Linked DNA regions of Arabidopsis thaliana. The protein of the gene in region 2 interacts with the protein of the main gene of each other region in a pairwise test. Each region holds a gene or a part of one and is shown on either strand. Other genes may lie near its edges.

Region 1 (7,447 bases), 2.6 Mb from region 2:
CATCATCTCCCTCCTATGAGCAATGAGACTCAGAATGAAAAAAACGTTTGGTTAATTATCAGATTGCAGTGTATGGAAAAGGATTCAACAAATCAGCAAGAGACGCATGGGAATTGTTTCAGTCGACAGGTGTAGAGGCACTTGTTGCATATGACTGCTCTGGTGCTGTACTTCTGATGGGAACCATCTTTGGAGGACTCATCACAGGCTCTTGCATTGGTATATGGGCTTGGATCAAGTACAGTGACCGAGTTATAATGGTTGCATCTACGGCTATGTTGATGGGAATGGTTCTTGTGAGTTTTCTTTTGTGCACTCTTTTAGTCACCCAAAAAATTACATGACCAACTTGTTCACTTTGTTTCATTGATCCAATGTGGTGTTCAGGTGGGTTTAGGAATGGTGGTAGTCGAAAGCGCTGTGACATCGATATACATATGTTTTGCTGAAGATCCTTTGTTGATTCAGAGATGGGATGCTGATTTCTACACTGAGATGTCTGAGGTGCTTCACCGTCGTCTCCAACATCGTAGCTCGCGAGCCCGTGAAGTTTTGACGACCGCTTGATTAGCCTATGCCTCCTCTTGGAAAATAGGAGATATAACTGTAGAATATTATGCTATTAGAGGGTGCTAAAAGCGGGCTAACCCTTGTGGCTAAAATTATTTTGTCAAATGATTTATGCTTTCTATTTGTTGAATCATGAATAGGAGGCTGTGGGCGTTTGTATCAAAATCTAATGTATTGATTTTTGTGTTTATTAGAAAAACAAAATCAATTGAATAGAACAAAGTTGATCTAGAGGGGTTGGATAAAGTTTGAAACAAGAACTAGTCAGAAGACCAAACATAGCCACACGCATTTCACTCTATCTCAAATAGTTTCACTAAGGGAGTAGTGTTAGCATTAGTAAACTAAGAAGAATGTATAAGGTTTGGAACAACAGAAAGTGTAAAAAAGGTAATACAATTTTACTAACAAAAATAGTTGCAGTTCATAGCCAGCAACCAAAATGGCGTTTTACACAAACAAACCAAATAAATTGCAGAGAACACGAATAATAGAAACTTAACTTAACGATCATACATATGAAAAAAAAACAATTCAGGATTGTGCTGCTGTGGAACCATCGATGGAATTAAGTGCTTGATTTGCAAAATAACGAACATCAACATCAGGGTCTTCGCTCAGGTCCACCAAACACTGACGGATTGTTTTGTCCACCACCTACAAATTTTTGACACGGCAAAAACATTAAAATTCAACAATTTCCATTAGTTTTCGATATAACTGAGTTATGTTTGTTATGATCGTACTGATTGGTCGACTATGGGGATGAGGGATTGCAGAAGTTTGGCAACGTTGAACTTGATGTTTGGAACTCTGCAGAGATAAGAGGTGTGCAACAACAACACATTAAAAACTAAGAAGTGTTCTTAAACTAGTTTGGCTTATTCATATCCTCTAATCTATCTATTGTACCTGTCTTTTGATGCTTCAACAACCACAGGAAGAAACTTAGAGCATGTGATTTCTGATCCCATTACAGGCGCCATGAGAGATATTGCGCGTAGAACCATCATCCTGTGTAGGTAGTGCGGATTGTTGACCATGTCCAATACCTGTTTATATGATAAAGGTCAATCTGGAGATCTCAATATTTGCAGCTTTAGTGATATCCAAAGAAAAGGGACCAAAGCTGGAGATTAGATGTTATAGGTGAGGTACTTGACATAGATCAACAATAAGATAAACAGACAGATGGTTTTAGTATAAAATGCTCAAAGAATACCTGGGGAACTAAGTGCTGCATTGCCCATTCAGGACCAAACTCCTCTGCGAGGCGCTTTAGGTTGTTTGCTGCAGCTTCGCGGATAGAGTAGACCTGAAGGAGGAGAACAGTGTCAATATCTACAATAACAAGTGAATGAGAAATTTATGCAAACATCAAAGATTCAAGGTAAACCTTGTCTTGCAGCCATTGCATGCAAAGGGCTCCGAGCTTGTCATCGAAAAATCCTATACCTAACTGGCTGGCCAACAGTGGAACATACTCTATTATTGCAAGTCGGACTCTCCAGTGCCGATCCTCAGCAAGTTCTACAATGGCCGGTAACAAGGATTGAGATAGTAGATCAATTCCAATAACCTGCCGTAAAAGATAATTCAGTCACCAACTAAATAAGGAAGCAATAAAAGTAGTATCTAAAGCACACAAGAGAGATGCAACAAACCTGGTTGACTTGATCTAACTTGCTTATGATGTTAAGGCGCACATCAGGAAATTCATCTTTCAAAAGGGAAAGAAAAATTGGTAACAGATGCTCAATGGTTGAGTCCTGTATTGAAAGATTTTAGTATGTTAATAATTTTTTGATAAGGTCTGCAACACCAGTTGGGGCTGGTATAACCACGCCATAACACAAGGTATGGCTGATTTTGTTGATGAAAACCATAAAACAAATTAAATCTCAGAACATTGTCACAAGATGCGAAAATGTTGGCTATCTTCAGTTCATACCTTCCCAAGGATAGGAGCCATCCCCATTATTACTGAAGCTAGAGCAGAGCGGACATGTTGAGAAGAATCCGATGATAATTCCTGCCAGACATCAGTATGTATCAGAATATTACGAGACAGGGGACATCAAACAACTCGTTTATATAGAATTTAAGGAGTCTTACCTTCACACAAGGAAGGATGTGCTGAATCGCAAGCTCTGGATTCAAAAGCCGACAGAACTTGGTCACTTTTCCCGCTGCTGCTATTCGCACTTCAGCCTCATTGTCCCTTAGCAATCTCACATATGCTGGAACCAAATCCGTCCTAGAGATATTATAACATAAATTGTGTCAAAATAAAAAGATACATGTACAAACATAGAACTACCATGGAAGGCTCTTATATGAACGAAAAAGAATAAAGAAAACTTCCAATAGACGCTCTTAGATGCATATTTGTTTGAAGGTCACAAAACTGTTTTACGAGAACGAAAGCCTAGATTAGCAAGGATGACAAAAAAATCAACAATGTCACAAAACACATACCTCGTGCAATCAGGACCCACTGCCTCACAAAGTTCATATAGCTGATTAGCAACCATGTAGCGCACCCTCCAAGATTTATCCTGCTCTCAGAAATCAATACAAACACCATAGAAAAACATCAGAACAGCAAGCTTTTACCGATGAAAATTAAACATGGAACAGCAGACAATTAACTGAAAAATCCATGAATGAAAAAAACAAAGCTCAATTCACCTGAGAGAAATTAACAATAACAGGTAAAATGCGTGCAACACAATCCTGAGGTTCCAACAACTTTCCAAGAGCTGCACACCCTTCAACAGCCAATAGTCTCACAGAATCTTGGTCTGAAATGAAGGTTAAAGTTTAACCAATATAAGCACAGATAAAACAAACATTTCTGAAGAGGTAAGTATCCAATATATTTCATCAAACAGCGTTTATTAATTCAAATGTGATCTCTTTACCATACTCTTGGGTCTATGCAAACTATTTCTAAGTGATGAGCACATATAAAGTACGATATATTCAAACATTAAGTACCATCTTTAGTAAGATCATCGAACATAGTCATGATCTCAGCAATCAAAAAGGTAGACTCGACAGTTGTAGCAAATTTCCCCAGGTTAGATGCAGCAGCTCTTCGCACCATTGGCATATCATCTTTGCACAACTGGCTATAAGTAGCCCGTAACTCAGTCTTCAACACATCAGTGCAACCTTGGTATGCAACATGAAATATACCACATGCAGAAACTCTTGCTGCAAACCATTCACCACCCGCTAACCTCTACAAGACAAACAACAAAACAAAAAAAAAAGCTTTGATTGAACCAACTAACAAAACGGCGTAATCTAGTGCTACATAAATCTCCTAAACTAACCTTCACAAGAGGAACAAAAGATTCAACAAGATCATTCTCTTTCATCTGAGATCCAATCTTACAAAGCGATTCCACAGCTTTTTCTCTCACACAAGTCTCTTCAACAGTACATAGAGATTCCAAAGGAGGAAGAAGAACATGCGCAAACTCAATTCCTCCAACAAACGGAATAAAAACTCCTAACTCCTCAGCCATTGCAAGAAGCACCTCATCGTCATCGTCACTATTCTCACTCAAAAAAGGGATTAACTCCTTCCTTGTACGCTCCTCTCCAAGAGCACGAGCTATAGTAGATAAGCGACGGATCGAGTTCAAACGAAGCTGAATATCATCATTCTTAAGCTCATCTATAAGCACAGCAATGGGATACAACGGTTCATCTACCATAGCCATCTTATGTGAAAGTTCGAATCAAATCACTGCAACACCAAAAATAATTCCTATGAGCTCATTGCTATAAGAGACGAAACAATAGATATTTTCGGATCTCGAATAAAATATTTAGTAATAAATACGAGAAATCATTTACAGATCCTGGGAAAAAACAATTATAGCCACTCGAGTGTTATCTTCGGCTTTATTGATTTTTCTCTACTTGCACAAACAGATTAAGACTATACTGCAGATTTTGAAACGAATCGGGTATGAATAAAACAGAAGAAGCGAGAAATGGGTTCAGATTCACCGGTTCGAAGTTGGATTAAAGGGAATGTGAATCGGAAAATGAAGGTTTAGAGATGAGATCTTATGATTCGTTAAGAAGAAACTGGAAATCAACTTACCGATCCAGGCGTCGGAGAAGAACTGCTTCAGATTCCCAGGAGCGAGAAAAGGTGAGAAAGAGGAATTCGCGAGCGAGAAAAATAATATTCTGCGTTTGATTTTTTTTTACGAAGGATTTATTAAAGGGAAAGATATAAAATGACGAAAGTGTCTAATTGGGCCATTTTGGGCTTTCTTAGGATTGGGTTATGTTGGGCTTTAATCAATTTTTTGCTTTAAAAAATTAAACAGTTGATTCAATTGATACAATGAAAGAAAAACAAAACTTTCCAATTGAGTTTATGACTTTGCCAAAACAAAACAAAAAGGAATTAGGAACTTATTTCAAGACAGCAAACAAACAAAGCAATAATGTATATAATTTTCTATACAAAATCAACTATATCCCTGGAGCTGAAGCAGCTACTGAGTCTGGTCCAGAGTCCAGCTTTTTCTATATCCGTGTCTCGCTAACTTGTTCTTTGAAATCGGCTTTAGTGCTTAGTTCCTCATACGCGTTAACAATATTTTGGAGCCTTGCAACAAACTCGATCAAAAGAGACGCAAATGTAGCTAGCGACAAAGAACTCGCACTTTCATATACTTTGGATTCTATCTCATTGATCATAGAACCGCCTATGAAAGAGACGCTTGGCCAGTTTTCGCGGTTCCTAAGCATCATACTCTCTGTTGATATCCATAGCTGAGAATCATTACCAGCGTGTTGATTCTGATGATGAGGGTTGTTGTTATTGTCCCATATCTGGCTGAGGGATTGAATCACTTTAGACTCGTCGTCTTTGGCTTCGTGATAGTTTTGTTGCGCTTCTTCAGCTTCGGCTTTCTCTTTCATAGCAGCCCAGCTTTCTGAGTTGACAAGTAGGAAGGAGTTACTGTCTATTTTCATCTGTAGTTCCTCTGCTGCTCTTTGAACATCCTTGAGAACGTTCCCTGGGCTTAGCTTCTCCATTTTCTCCACCTTTTCTCCAAACAACCTCAAGACTTTGGCTCCTTCGTTTCCAACTCTTTGAAGTTCTTGACGAAAAGCCTGCCTTTTTTCTGGAGCTGCCTGCAAATCCCACACCAATTGATATCACAAGTCTTATAGGGCATACGACAAGCATTGAACTCAAAGAAAACCATTCACTAGTAACAACAGTAAACTAGGAGATCCCACTTTGCACCTACTCAACAATTATATGACAAATATCCGACTTCTCAGAGTAACAGTCTAGTTAATCACGAAGAGGTACTAGTAGCATTTGAAGCAGGTTGGTATAGTCTCTAATAACCATTATAGCACCTCATTTGCTATGATAGATAAAGTTGTATTTAACAAGAATATGGTAAGTTACCTGAATTTCCGAAAGAATGCAGCCATGCATTGCCATGACCATGAAAGCGCAGTGCCTTACTGCGCCACTAAGTTTGACGTAGTTTGCCCATGGATGGTGGAAAGTCTTATATGGTCCATGTGGAGGCTCCCATACTGCAAAATCAAGCTGAGGAAAAAAGAGGTCATCGTATCTTATCATCTAAATCCTTTTCAAGTTATCTAGTTGCTGCTCAACAAAAGTGTCCTAAGGAAAACACACCAGAGAATCTTCTTGGCTCGTAGATTGGACTACAGACCTGTATCCACTGTATAATGGATCATCCGAAGCTTGGTAAGTGAGAATCTTCGAAGGAATCCTCTCGTATTCAACACATTGCAAGTACCCATTAACACATCCTGAAAGTTTTAGGAAAGCACAAACAAAACAAGACATAAAAAAACAGCCAAAACCCGAAACGAAACAAGAGAAAACAGCCATTTGACGTATCTCTCTACCTTCAAGTGAATTGGCCACACTTTTGAAATTCTTAACAACTAGTTTATGGAGGTCTTCTCCAGCCCAAATGGGAAGTATAAATATGTTCACACCCAAACAGATACCAGCACCAACCAGGATAAGCAAAAACCTATAATAAGCAGTGCTAAAAAAATCTCTAGAGTTGTTTCCAGACACAAGAACAATACAGTATGTCAACAAAAACACCCTGAATGCATATTCATACGACTTCATCGCCGGGTATAGTTTCAAATAACTTGCAGAAAAACCTGATAGACAAACCAACAGATTCACAAGTATCAAAAATAAAGTTAGTATGTTTATTTAAAAAAGGTTCATTTCTAATAAAAATTGAGAGAAATAGTGCAACCTGCAATGAAAATACTGATAATGATAATGAGTTCTTCAAATTCTCCAGCTGAAACAGAGAGTCTAGCTATGCCAAGAGCAAGTCCTCCAGCAGAGAGTGTTCCTATAGCTCTATTAAATCCTTTGACCAATGTTGCTCCTTCAAAAAACAGAGTTAGAGCCAAATTAGATCTCTGAAGACAAGTAATCCTAAGACAGATCTAATGAGAATTTAGATCGAAGAAGACGAAAGTTTTGATTTTTAATCAAAATCCGGAAGATTTGATCGAACAACAACAACCCCAGAATCGATCTGAATCTATAGAATTCGTGAGTCACAGTACCTATACTATACTCAAAGACGACGACAACAGTAAGGATCGCCCAAACAGCATACTTGCTAGCGTCACGGAGTGGTTCTTTAAGGTAGATGACGAAAGAACAGAGTGCGAGAGCCATCCCCATCTTAACGGAGAAGTAAACTTTCCGACGATCGGAACGACCCATCTCGTATAATTTAGCACCGATGTCGTATAAAGCTTTCCAGGAAGCAGTGATCCCGTCGGAGCAAAATCGGAAACACCGGAACTTGGA
Region 2 (6,248 bases):
CTTTTGACATCGAGAAAGCAGAGGAATTATTAGTCGGAGTTCATATTTTCTCTTACGAAGAACTTGAAGAAGCCACTAATAACTTCGACCCATCTAAAGAACTCGGTGATGGAGGCTTTGGTACTGTCTATTACGGTAAGCTTAAAGATGGACGAAGCGTAGCCGTTAAACGGTTATACGATAACAACTTCAAAAGAGCAGAGCAATTCAGGAATGAAGTTGAGATCTTAACGGGTTTACGCCATCCAAACCTCGTGGCTCTCTTTGGATGCTCCTCAAAACAGAGCCGGGACTTACTGCTAGTGTATGAGTATGTTGCAAACGGCACGTTAGCTGATCATCTACATGGTCCACAGGCAAACCCTAGCTCACTTCCTTGGTCTATTCGGCTCAAAATCGCTGTTGAAACTGCCTCTGCCTTGAAGTATCTCCACGCCTCCAAGATCATCCACCGTGATGTTAAATCCAACAACATCCTTCTCGACCAAAACTTCAATGTCAAGGTCAGTAACTCACACTGGTTATTACTCAATCTGGTGGGATTTTATCGGATCATAATCTTAACTTCTTTCTGTGTTTTTTTTACTGTTTTCGACATTTTAGGTTGCGGATTTTGGACTCTCTAGACTGTTTCCTATGGATAAAACGCACGTATCTACCGCTCCACAAGGAACTCCGGGATATGTCGACCCGGATTACCACTTATGCTATCAACTCTCAAACAAAAGCGACGTGTACAGCTTTGCGGTAGTGTTAATGGAGCTTATCTCTTCACTTCCAGCAGTCGACATCACAAGACCGCGCCAAGAGATCAACCTCTCGAACATGGCAGTCGTTAAAATCCAGAACCACGAGCTCCGCGACATGGTGGATCCGTCACTTGGGTTTGACACGGATACAAGAGTGAGACAGACGGTGATCGCTGTCGCTGAGCTGGCGTTCCAATGCTTGCAGTCGGATAAAGATCTTAGGCCATGTATGTCGCACGTGCAGGATACGTTGACGAGGATACAGAACAATGGATTTGGTTCGGAAATGGATGTTGTAGATGTGAACAAGAGTGGACCGTTGGTTGCACAGTCTCCAGATAGTGTCATTGTGAAATGGGACAGTAAGTAAAATTAGTCGCACGGCCACTAACATTGTATGTGTTTATTATTTGTATGTTTAAAATTGTCAGTTAACAGTTAGAGAATGGTGTTCGTGTTCTGTATTAGATGATATTTTTGGGAATGTATATAATGATGATCTTGTTCCGATTCCACCTAGAGAGGGACCGTAACATACAAAACTTCGTGATTGGGCCTGACCGGACTAAATCAGCAATTTTGTATTGCTATTTGCTGCCAACTGAAACTATTTTTTTATTAGTGGTTAATTTTATTTTTTTACGGAAAAGGTAAAAATATTTGAGACATCAAAATAATGATGGTAATTAAGTAACGCCAGCTCAGCGACGGCGATGACTATCCACCAATTTAACGTCAGAAGAATATATATATGTATATTGAGCTTATCTTCTGTTTCCAATGTAAGTGGAAAGTCCACTGCTGCAATCACAATGTAAGACCTGCATCTATGAAGTTTTAATGAAAGACACTTTCAGAGAAAAAAAAAAAAAACTTCTGTTTCCAAAATTTCCTAATTAAAGCACACCAATTTGGGCATGGATGCTTTACTACTTCTATTAATGAACAAGTTAAAGAGTAAGTTGTCTTGAATGAATGAAATTGCATGTGAATCAAATCCCTCCACCATACATAATAGATAATCTATAGTAATGGCCCAACTAAACATTGACATTTGTTGCAACCTAACTCTTTCCTAAAAGGAAGAAAAAAAAAAAAAAAAAAAAACTCTTTCCTAAAACTCAATGTGTTTGATCATCACAAGGACAAACAAAGGAAATCTCTAGTATGCCGATTAAAGTGAAAATTTGTCTTCACCAATATAAATAATTTGGTAACTTAAACTTTAACTAAAGATTCATAAATTGGCGTCAACTTATGTAAAAGAACCTTCATATATACTTTCGTTTATCTCCCTATATTTTTATACATACACATATTTATAGTATTTTTGTCGATTAATTGGCATTGGCCATTTGGAAGTTATAATTAAGTTGGCAAATGGATGTGATCTCTTACCCTATACACCTACATAAAAAACCCTCCATGCAAAACATTAATGGATGTTTTCATTAAAACAAGTTTTGATATCAACTTAGTTTGACTAGCTACATCCATTTCAATATTTTCTTCCCAATATTAATAATAAATTTAAAGATAGACCACTAGTTCTTAACCTCACACCAAACTGACTAGAAATGTTCTTCCCCCTTGCAAACAGAGAAAGCCTAATGGAACCCACGACCAAACATTGGTCCTACTTTTCCTTGTTTGGACATATCTCCCCGACACACAAATCCCAGAACGTTCACTTGCCCACGTGGCTCTCCCTTTATTTCTCTCTTTTTCTTTCTTAATTTTCTCCACATTTCTTTTTCTAAAATCATAAATTAAATTAATAAAAAAATCCAATCGAACAATATAAAAGTCTCAAGTTTTGTATCAACCAGTCTAAAGAAGTTGTCAGAAAAAAAAAAAAAAAAAAGTGTCAAGAAGATCATATCTCAATTCATTATATTATGGCAAATTTCGAGAATCTTTCTTCTGATTTTCAGACAATAGCCATGGATATATATTCTTCCATAACTCAAGCTGCAGATCTAAACAACAACAACAGTAACCTTCATTTTCAAACATTTCATCCTTCCTCTACTTCTCTCGAATCGCTCTTCCTTCATCATCATCAACAACAATTACTTCACTTTCCCGGAAACTCTCCAGACAGTAGTAACAATTTCTCTTCAACTTCAAGTTTCCTCCATAGTGATCACAACATCGTCGATGAGACCAAGAAGAGAAAAGCTTTGTTACCTACTTTGTCTTCATCAGAGACTAGCGGCGTCTCCGATAATACGAATGTTATTGCCACTGAAACAGTAATTGATCTCGAAACCCTAGCTAATTATCTTATCATTTTCATAACTTATCATTAAAAAGTTCGTTTAAAATAATTACTTTTATTGTCTAAAAAATATCTAGGGTTCTTTGAGAAGAGGTAAGAGGTTGAAGAAGAAGAAGGAAGAAGAAGACGAGAAAGAGAGAGAAGTTGTTCATGTGAGAGCCAGAAGAGGCCAAGCCACTGATAGCCACAGCTTAGCAGAACGGGTAAAATTGCTTAAATTGTCTATATAAATTCATTTTTTTTATAAACGTGGTGTATTCATTTAAATTTATATACATGTCTACACTCTATATCAAAATTTCAGGTTCGGCGAGGGAAAATAAACGAGAGATTAAGATGCTTGCAAGATATGGTGCCCGGATGTTATAAGGTAATAATGCAAAGATAAATATAATAGTTTAACATTTTCAACTTTTCATTACTTCTTTTTTAATATATTTGTAATCAAAATAGAAACTAATGGCCATTAAACAATAAATAGCATATGAAAAGGTCATCATCGGCATTAATTGTCACTAATTATACTTGAATCAAATTTAAGCATTTTATGATAAAAGTGATACTTTTAGTTAAACAAGAACATATGTATCCAAAAGTATTTTTAACATGCATGAGTGTGATTTTAGCTTTTTTCTTTGATACCGCTCATAATATTTTCCGAAAATTGTTCTTCGGATTTTTTTTTGTTTTTTTTGTTTACAAAGAACTCAGAAAAAAAATTGTAGAAAAAGTGATGTGATTTTCTATTGATTTAGTGGTGCTTACTTCTTATAATGAAAGTGTATGTTTGGTGGGTGCAGGCTATGGGAATGGCTACGATGCTTGACGAGATAATTAATTATGTCCAGTCTCTACAGAATCAAGTCGAGGTAAATAATTTAAGTTGTAATCATAAACTACATATATCAATAAGACTTTGTCTTCTTGTATTTTGGAGAAAGAAAAAAAAAACTAGAAAATGGAGGTTTCATGAGATGGGAGGTTCGGTAAATACCTACTTTAGTAGTACTTTCCGAAACACGGCAAATCTTAGATATTCGAAAATTACAAAAAAAAAACGAAAATCTTACCACACACTTTAAAAAACTTCCAAAACACAAGCTTTAATTTTATAAATTACTCAATTTTGTTTCATGTTTTTTGTGGATTTCAGTTCCTCTCGATGAAACTCACTGCAGCAAGTTCGTTTTATGACTTTAACTCAGAGACAGATGCAGTTGATTCCATGCAGGTACTAGAACATTCTAATAATGTTTTTCAATTCTTAAGATAAGCATATATATAATTAATTAGTGGTAGTCTGGTAGAGATGTTGTAATGGGTCCGGTATGTTTTGATCGAGTCGGTTCTACAAAGATTTATTCAAAAATACAAGTGTTTGTAGTTTAGATTCAATCTTATTAGACTATAATATATGATCACGCGGACTATATGACCCGCAATTAAAATATGTTCGACAGGTCAAATCCAGCCTTTGCATAATTGATCTTGTATGGTTTATTGGTTTAAGTAGTCTCTTTTTTTTTGGCATTATATTTGCATGGTTTAAGTCTAACTAGTTGTTGTTATGACAATTACTTTATTTTAACGTGATAAAGTATTTCTATTAGTATTGAATAATATGAATGGAATACAATTGGCAGAGAGCAAAGGCACGTGAGACAGTGGAGATGGGGAGACAAACAAGAGATGGGAGTCCTGTCTTCCATTTATCAACATGGTCCCTTTGACTTTTGTTTTCTCTTTTCTCTTTTCCTTCTTTTTTATTGTTTTCGAAATTATTCTTCTATTTATTTGGATGCGATATGTCATATATACGACCCAACTTGGGATAATATTTGTAATCTGTATACTTGTAATTTCGACGATATAAATTTATTGGTGACTTATAATTGTCATGTAAATATCTCAGTTGTCCTCTCCCTTTTCGCTTTGCTATTTCGTTTGCTTGGCACCTTTTTCCTTTTCCTCTTATGTAATTGTCCTCTTAAGTTATGAAATGATCAGAAATAAAATTCAACAGAATTTTTTTATTTTGTTTCTGCAAATGAAGTTATAAATCATGGATGAATTAGCTCATATGTCAAAGTGTTGATGAGTGAATTGACGATGATGGGAAGAGAGAAATCAATTGTAAATTGTATATATTACCAAATCTTCAATGAAATGTGATTAGTCTTTATAACAAAAAGAAATGAGCGTTACCAGTCGGTTTAAATATTGATTTTAGTTTATTAATTTTAGGGTCGAGAGTTCTTAGTCTGATTACAGACATGCATGTGCTTTTGATGTCTAGAGTTCCACTTCACTTTCCTACGTAAAGTGGGTTAAAAACGGCTTCGGCTATAGAATTACTAAAAATGAAGATTAGTTTATAATATAAAACGATATGTTCTTGTTAAGGGATTATATTTCCATTCATATGTAATTTGCTTTTGGTTACTAAAAACATTTTCCTTTTTCAGCGAGAAAGGCATAGTTACATATACGATAAACTGGAAGAGGCAAGTTGCGCAAGGTTTGGTAACGAAGAGGAGTTATGGAACCAAAGAGACTTTGTCGGTGTAAATTAACAAAAACACCCTTCACTTCTGTAGCTTTCCAAAGACAATGATGTGTGTCTCCCAAACCAAAAACAGAGACAAAATAGTAAATTGTGATGCGAAGCCTATGGACGTGTTTTACAGACGAACAACCAATCTCTTGAGACTTCCTTCCTCTTTTGTGGTCTCTCTTATTATCCATATATGAATATCTCTTATATATTTCATATTTTTTTCAAAAATAATTCTAATAGCGACGGTTCACTTCACAGGATCTTACGGATGTTGCCTATTCATAATCTTTATGATTGATAGAACAATTCAGATATTTGTATGATCGTATATATAAAGAAAGTGAGGGTATAATAATACACTTTTGTCTTTCTGTTATTCTCTCTATACATGTTTCTTTATTTCTGATTTTTTTTTTTTATTATAATTTTTTTTATGACATTTTGGACACTAGCTAGTACTCATTCCATATGCATGGCAGGTCGTAGCCGAGGTTTAAGTTTTATCTTTGTAATGCAGGTATTACGTAATTTACCCGAGATTAGTATGGTGTAGATGGCTTATGATAAAATCCTTACAAAAATATTTCGAATATAATATTAATACATGATAGATATGTTTATACATAGGTTCATGCAGGAATTAAACTTCTTAACAAAAGAA
Region 3 (4,478 bases), on a different chromosome or scaffold from region 2:
GTGAAGTGAACAAGGAGCATAGGTTTCCTTGAATTAACCTCTCTGCTACTTTTCTGAGATTTTCTGACCAACAAGTGTGGAGCAAAGCTCTGGTGGTTTAATGCTTGTTTGTAGTCAAAGGTTTTCTTTTTATTATTGGGAAGGTAAAAAGAGATCTTGCAACTGTTTTAGTTGAACTTCTATTCATTAATTCGAAGACAAAACGAGCAAGTACATTTTCTCTGCACCATCCTCTTTATAATATGTCTCGATATATACTCTCTTTCTGGAGTAGAGTATCTGTATACCTTATCGGTTTGTTGTAATTTGAGATTACTTTATATTACAAAACATCATTTTATGGGATGATTGTCGTAATTTTCATTATGCTAAACGTTACTATAGCTAAACATTTTTCGTTAACATTTTTACAACAAGTATAATCGGATACGTTTAGTCTGTTAGACTTTTTAGTTTTCAGGTGATGTTTAATCGGATACTAACAAGTATAATCTAATAGACTAAACGTACGGATATTATTTTCATAACAACTTTTTTCTTTTTGGATTTTTCGTTGCTAGTTGTGAAGCTATATATTAAAAAAAAAGCCCTAAAGCTTATTGTAATTTAGGAATTCTTAAAGCTTATTCTAATCATAACAAAACGATTTTCAATATGTATAGGTATTAACGTTCAAAGTGAGGTATGTACGTAAAAAGATGAAAATGAAGCAATAGAGTACATTCATATTATATGCTCTAAAATATAGTACTTCACAAATATATGCGTTGTGTGTATACAAAGACAAAAGTCCACAGTAATGATAACACTATTTAAATAGGGTTCTTTGATGGCGTCATGGTTCTTATGCCCGAAAAATGCCCGGCCAAAACTTGTATACAACCAAACTCCAAATCAAGAACTTATTATTATATACGAAATGATAACATAATATTAAATATATGGTGGTACACAACTCAAGCTAACCGTTATGATTATTCCACAACCTTTTCACGGTCAACAACAATATATTATATATCCTAACAAACCCTTATTTCGTATCCATTTTTATTATATATAAACACTTTCCATAATTGCACCATTACTCACACATTATAGCATAATTTAGTTACTACTAATGGAAATGTCATCTTGTCTAGATTAATTCTCCTACTCCTCTTCCCCCACGGCCGAAACTTGGCGGTGGTGGCGGTGAAACCCATGACGTCGTCACCGCCTGAGAAGCTTGATCTTGCGGCGGCGGAGGAGTATATCCGGTATTATTATTGAGTAGCCGGATCTGCCGTTTCAAGAACTTGACATAGCGTATAGCTTCATCGAGCATTGAAGCCGTATCCATTTTAGTGCCACCTGGCACGAGTCTCTGAAGAATTCTGATCCTCTCACTGATTCTCTCACGGCGATGTCTAGCCGCCACACTCTGAGGGTCGTCGGAGATCCTCACGTTACGGCGTTTGGGTTTCTTGACGGTTGCTGGGTCGATGTCAACCGATTGCATGGCTGCGATCTTGTACATCATTTCCTTCATAGCACCGAGTTCCTCTAGAGGTTCTTCTTCGTCTTCGTCGTCTTCTTGATCTCCGGAGAGAAGAGTGGTGGTTGTGAGGGAAGAAGAGAGAGGAGGGAAATGAGAAGAAGAGAAAGGATTGAAGATATGGAGCTGTGTGTACTGGTCCATGGCCATACCGATTGGATCATTATTATGTTGATGATGATGATCATCATTCTTGTTGTTGTTGTTGCTGCTGTTGATGATGTTGTTCCAAGTGTAATTTTGGAAGAGAGATGGGTTCATATTATAATTATTCATAATTTTTGTTTGTTTGGTTCGTAAAAATTTTAATGCTTGAGGCGATGCTTATATGTATATATATATGTGTGTGTGTGAGCATATATATATATTAAAGGAAAAAAAGAAAGGTGATCATATGATGAGGGGTTAGGTTGGTGATGCAATTAAGGATTTTGGTTCGGAGAAAAAATAAAGAATAATTTTATTTATATGTATCTTTTCAATAAGTGGACGTCACTAGTCGTTACCAAAGAAAAAGATTAAATTGTATATAGTTGAATAAGAAGTTTTTTTATGCTCCGAAAATGTTTATAAACGTTGTAGCACTTTTGTATACATATAGTTGGCATAATCGCTTTTTTTTTTTTTTTTTTAATGAGCAGCTCCAGTTGACTAATGAGATAGTTTTGAGTTGGCTAGGGTTTCCCTCTCCCACATTGAGACTTGAATTTAGGGTATATCGAGAAAGTGGCTTTCACCAAAGTAATAAACTAATAACCACTAGCTATAAGAATGTGAATTACTTTATATGAACATGAGTTTCTCTTTGATTCACAAAAGATGTCACCACTTGTGTGCTCTTATTCTGACTTCTCAATTTACAATCCCTTTAATTATCTCCTTCTCTCTTCACAAAACCCATTCACTAAAATAGGAAATCTTGATAAATTTTCTCTCATTCTCTTGTCTCTTCACGAAATAGCACATTTTGTTGATCCTATACTCTTATCCCGATCAACGGTCGTGATTTTCTCTCTCCCCTCGATGGAGTCCAATATTGAATGTAAATTGTGTGTGAAACTCGCAATGTTATATATTATTATAAAACAAATGATCAACTTGCTTTTTTCCACAAAGCTATTCTATAACTTGCGACGTGATTAAAGGTTTATAAGGATAACAAACATCAAATCACTCGCATGGGGACACCTTAGCTTCTTCAACATTTGGGTGTTATCCATGATTGTCATTAATAAGAAAGACGTGTATCATCGTCGTGACTCGTTTATATAAGACGGTGGTGAATATATCATTTTCCATGAAGCAATTTCTGCTTTTTATTAACAAAGTTCACATCTACGTAACAACGTTCTTGTATACAAGTGTATAAAACAAACACAAATCCGTAAAATACACGAAATTTTATGAGACTTCAAAAGAGGCAAATTTATATACGTTGTTTCGATCCGTTTATACAAAAATCAGACGGTTCTGATTTAATGTGACAAGTTTCTTATGTCATATGCCTCAACACAAAAGCAATGTATAAATACACATGTATATGTACATATATGAGATATAAGCGTATATTTTGCACATATGTTATGATTTGGTCTGCATTATAATCATACAAATTGCGCATGCAGGCTGCAATCATGCATTATAGGGTTACTTCTTTGGTATTAATCCATTGTTCACTGTATATTATATTCTTATTAAATCCACCCAACTGCCAACTACATGTATGAACATCTACTTATACACACACAAGTTTTGGAAATTAATTTGATTCGATATAAGTATACACTATATAGTTTTCGCATTTATAGCGGTTTAAAATGAAAACCGCAATTAAAAGAGTAACTGTGTATTTAATATAATAGCTAGCATTCGATCATATTATTAAAGTATATAACAGTCATGAGCAAGACTTATAATATAATATAGTTTAGTTAAAAGAAGTTTTATTTTGCCATGTATTTTATATAATACAAATTCGGATGGATTGGAGCAATGAACAATTTTTTTATTGCCTGATCATAAATTTAGAGTGTTTTTTAATTAAGTCTATTAATATTTTTCATACATGTGAAAGTTAAATGATTCATTTTGGACAGCTAGTTTCTAAATTTCCACAAAAACATGTAAAATAATAGAATATATAAGACACATAAATTTAATTTACTTCTTAAATCTATGATTTCATTTAGAATACATATAGTATTTTATTATTACTTTTTCCTTTTTGGTTGTATGTACATTTCTGCAACTGTGATGTGAAATATCATAATGGTTTATAAAGCTTGTATAATATGTTTCGAAATGTATACCGAGTTGTAATAAACAAAAATTGAATGCAATTGATTTACTAAATCATGTTTTCTTTTAAGCAAATTATCACTAGCTTATCTATTATGATATGGTTTAAACATGTGACAGCTCAAGCGGCCCCCATTTCGTCTGTGTATAAAGTGTAACCGTAAACCCTAACTAGATGAATCTAGTGTAAATGTATATAGTACATATACACGTGAGTGGGTGAAATAACTATGCAACATTTTCCGATGAAGATTGAATCATAAAATCTGACAATCTCCATTATTTTCATCCAAATTATCGCGTACATAAAAAAGCATTAAATAACTATATATATATATAGGCCATACATATATAACTATTTTTTTCAGCAATTGTGCTTCTTCCTCCTTTTTATTAATAGCGATACAATCTTCCGTCTTTGTGCGTTACGATTCCCAAAGAACCACACCCTCATTTCCTCAGAGTCTGGTCTCTTACAGCGACTTCTCTTTTTCTTTCTTTTTTGGATTTCCTCTTTCTGCTTCCACCATGGAGAAGAACAAACAAAGAAAAACTCAGTGTTGTTTCTTTCCAAATTTGAACACTTTGTAATCTAGTGATATCACTTTATCTTACTCCAATTTCACCGGTTAGGTTTGGTCATTAA

Evidence for each region. The genes of interacting proteins can lie anywhere in the genome.
Region 1: the proteins of BEE1 (region 2) and RCN1 interact in binary tests that used the Arabidopsis thaliana proteins (3 or more experiments, as listed by UniProt).
Region 3: the proteins of BEE1 (region 2) and HEC3 interact in binary tests that used the Arabidopsis thaliana proteins (3 or more experiments, as listed by UniProt).

The regions. Positions count from the first base shown.
Region 1 is NC_003070.9:8,948,557-8,956,003, reverse strand, and holds RCN1 (ARM repeat superfamily protein), read right to left. Parts: upstream 4,843-7,447; 5' UTR 4,694-4,842; intron 4,331-4,693; 5' UTR 4,305-4,330; coding exon 3,912-4,304; intron 3,818-3,911; coding exon 3,571-3,817; intron 3,375-3,570; coding exon 3,262-3,374; intron 3,129-3,261; coding exon 3,049-3,128; intron 2,828-3,048; coding exon 2,686-2,827; intron 2,603-2,685; coding exon 2,522-2,602; intron 2,340-2,521; coding exon 2,235-2,339; intron 2,150-2,234; coding exon 1,967-2,149; intron 1,886-1,966; coding exon 1,793-1,885; intron 1,623-1,792; coding exon 1,483-1,622; intron 1,384-1,482; coding exon 1,317-1,383; intron 1,228-1,316; coding exon 1,105-1,227; 3' UTR 844-1,104; downstream 1-843. Other genes in the region: AT1G25500 (Plasma-membrane choline transporter family protein), read left to right, coding at 63-296, 388-567; AT1G25480 (aluminum activated malate transporter family protein), read right to left, coding at 5,128-5,742, 6,029-6,175, 6,269-6,405, 6,505-6,774, 6,876-7,013, 7,198-7,447. UniProt on the Arabidopsis thaliana protein: The A subunit of protein phosphatase 2A serves as a scaffolding molecule to coordinate the assembly of the catalytic subunit and a variable regulatory B subunit. Seems to act as a positive regulator of PP2A catalytic activity.
Region 2 is NC_003070.9:6,328,817-6,335,064, forward strand, and holds BEE1 (BR enhanced expression 1), read left to right. Parts: upstream 1-2,581; 5' UTR 2,582-2,647; coding exon 2,648-3,004; intron 3,005-3,107; coding exon 3,108-3,233; intron 3,234-3,334; coding exon 3,335-3,400; intron 3,401-3,830; coding exon 3,831-3,899; intron 3,900-4,183; coding exon 4,184-4,261; coding exon of another isoform or gene 4,262-4,303; exon of another isoform or gene 4,304-4,673; coding exon 4,674-4,760; 3' UTR 4,761-5,040; downstream 5,041-6,248. Other genes in the region: AT1G18390 (Serine/Threonine kinase family catalytic domain protein), read left to right, coding at 1-503, 604-1,119. UniProt on the Arabidopsis thaliana protein: Positive regulator of brassinosteroid signaling.
Region 3 is NC_003076.8:3,025,266-3,029,743, forward strand, and holds HEC3 (basic helix-loop-helix (bHLH) DNA-binding superfamily protein), read right to left. Parts: upstream 1,850-4,478; 5' UTR 1,811-1,849; coding exon 1,136-1,810; 3' UTR 844-1,135; downstream 1-843. UniProt on the Arabidopsis thaliana protein: Required for the female reproductive tract development and fertility.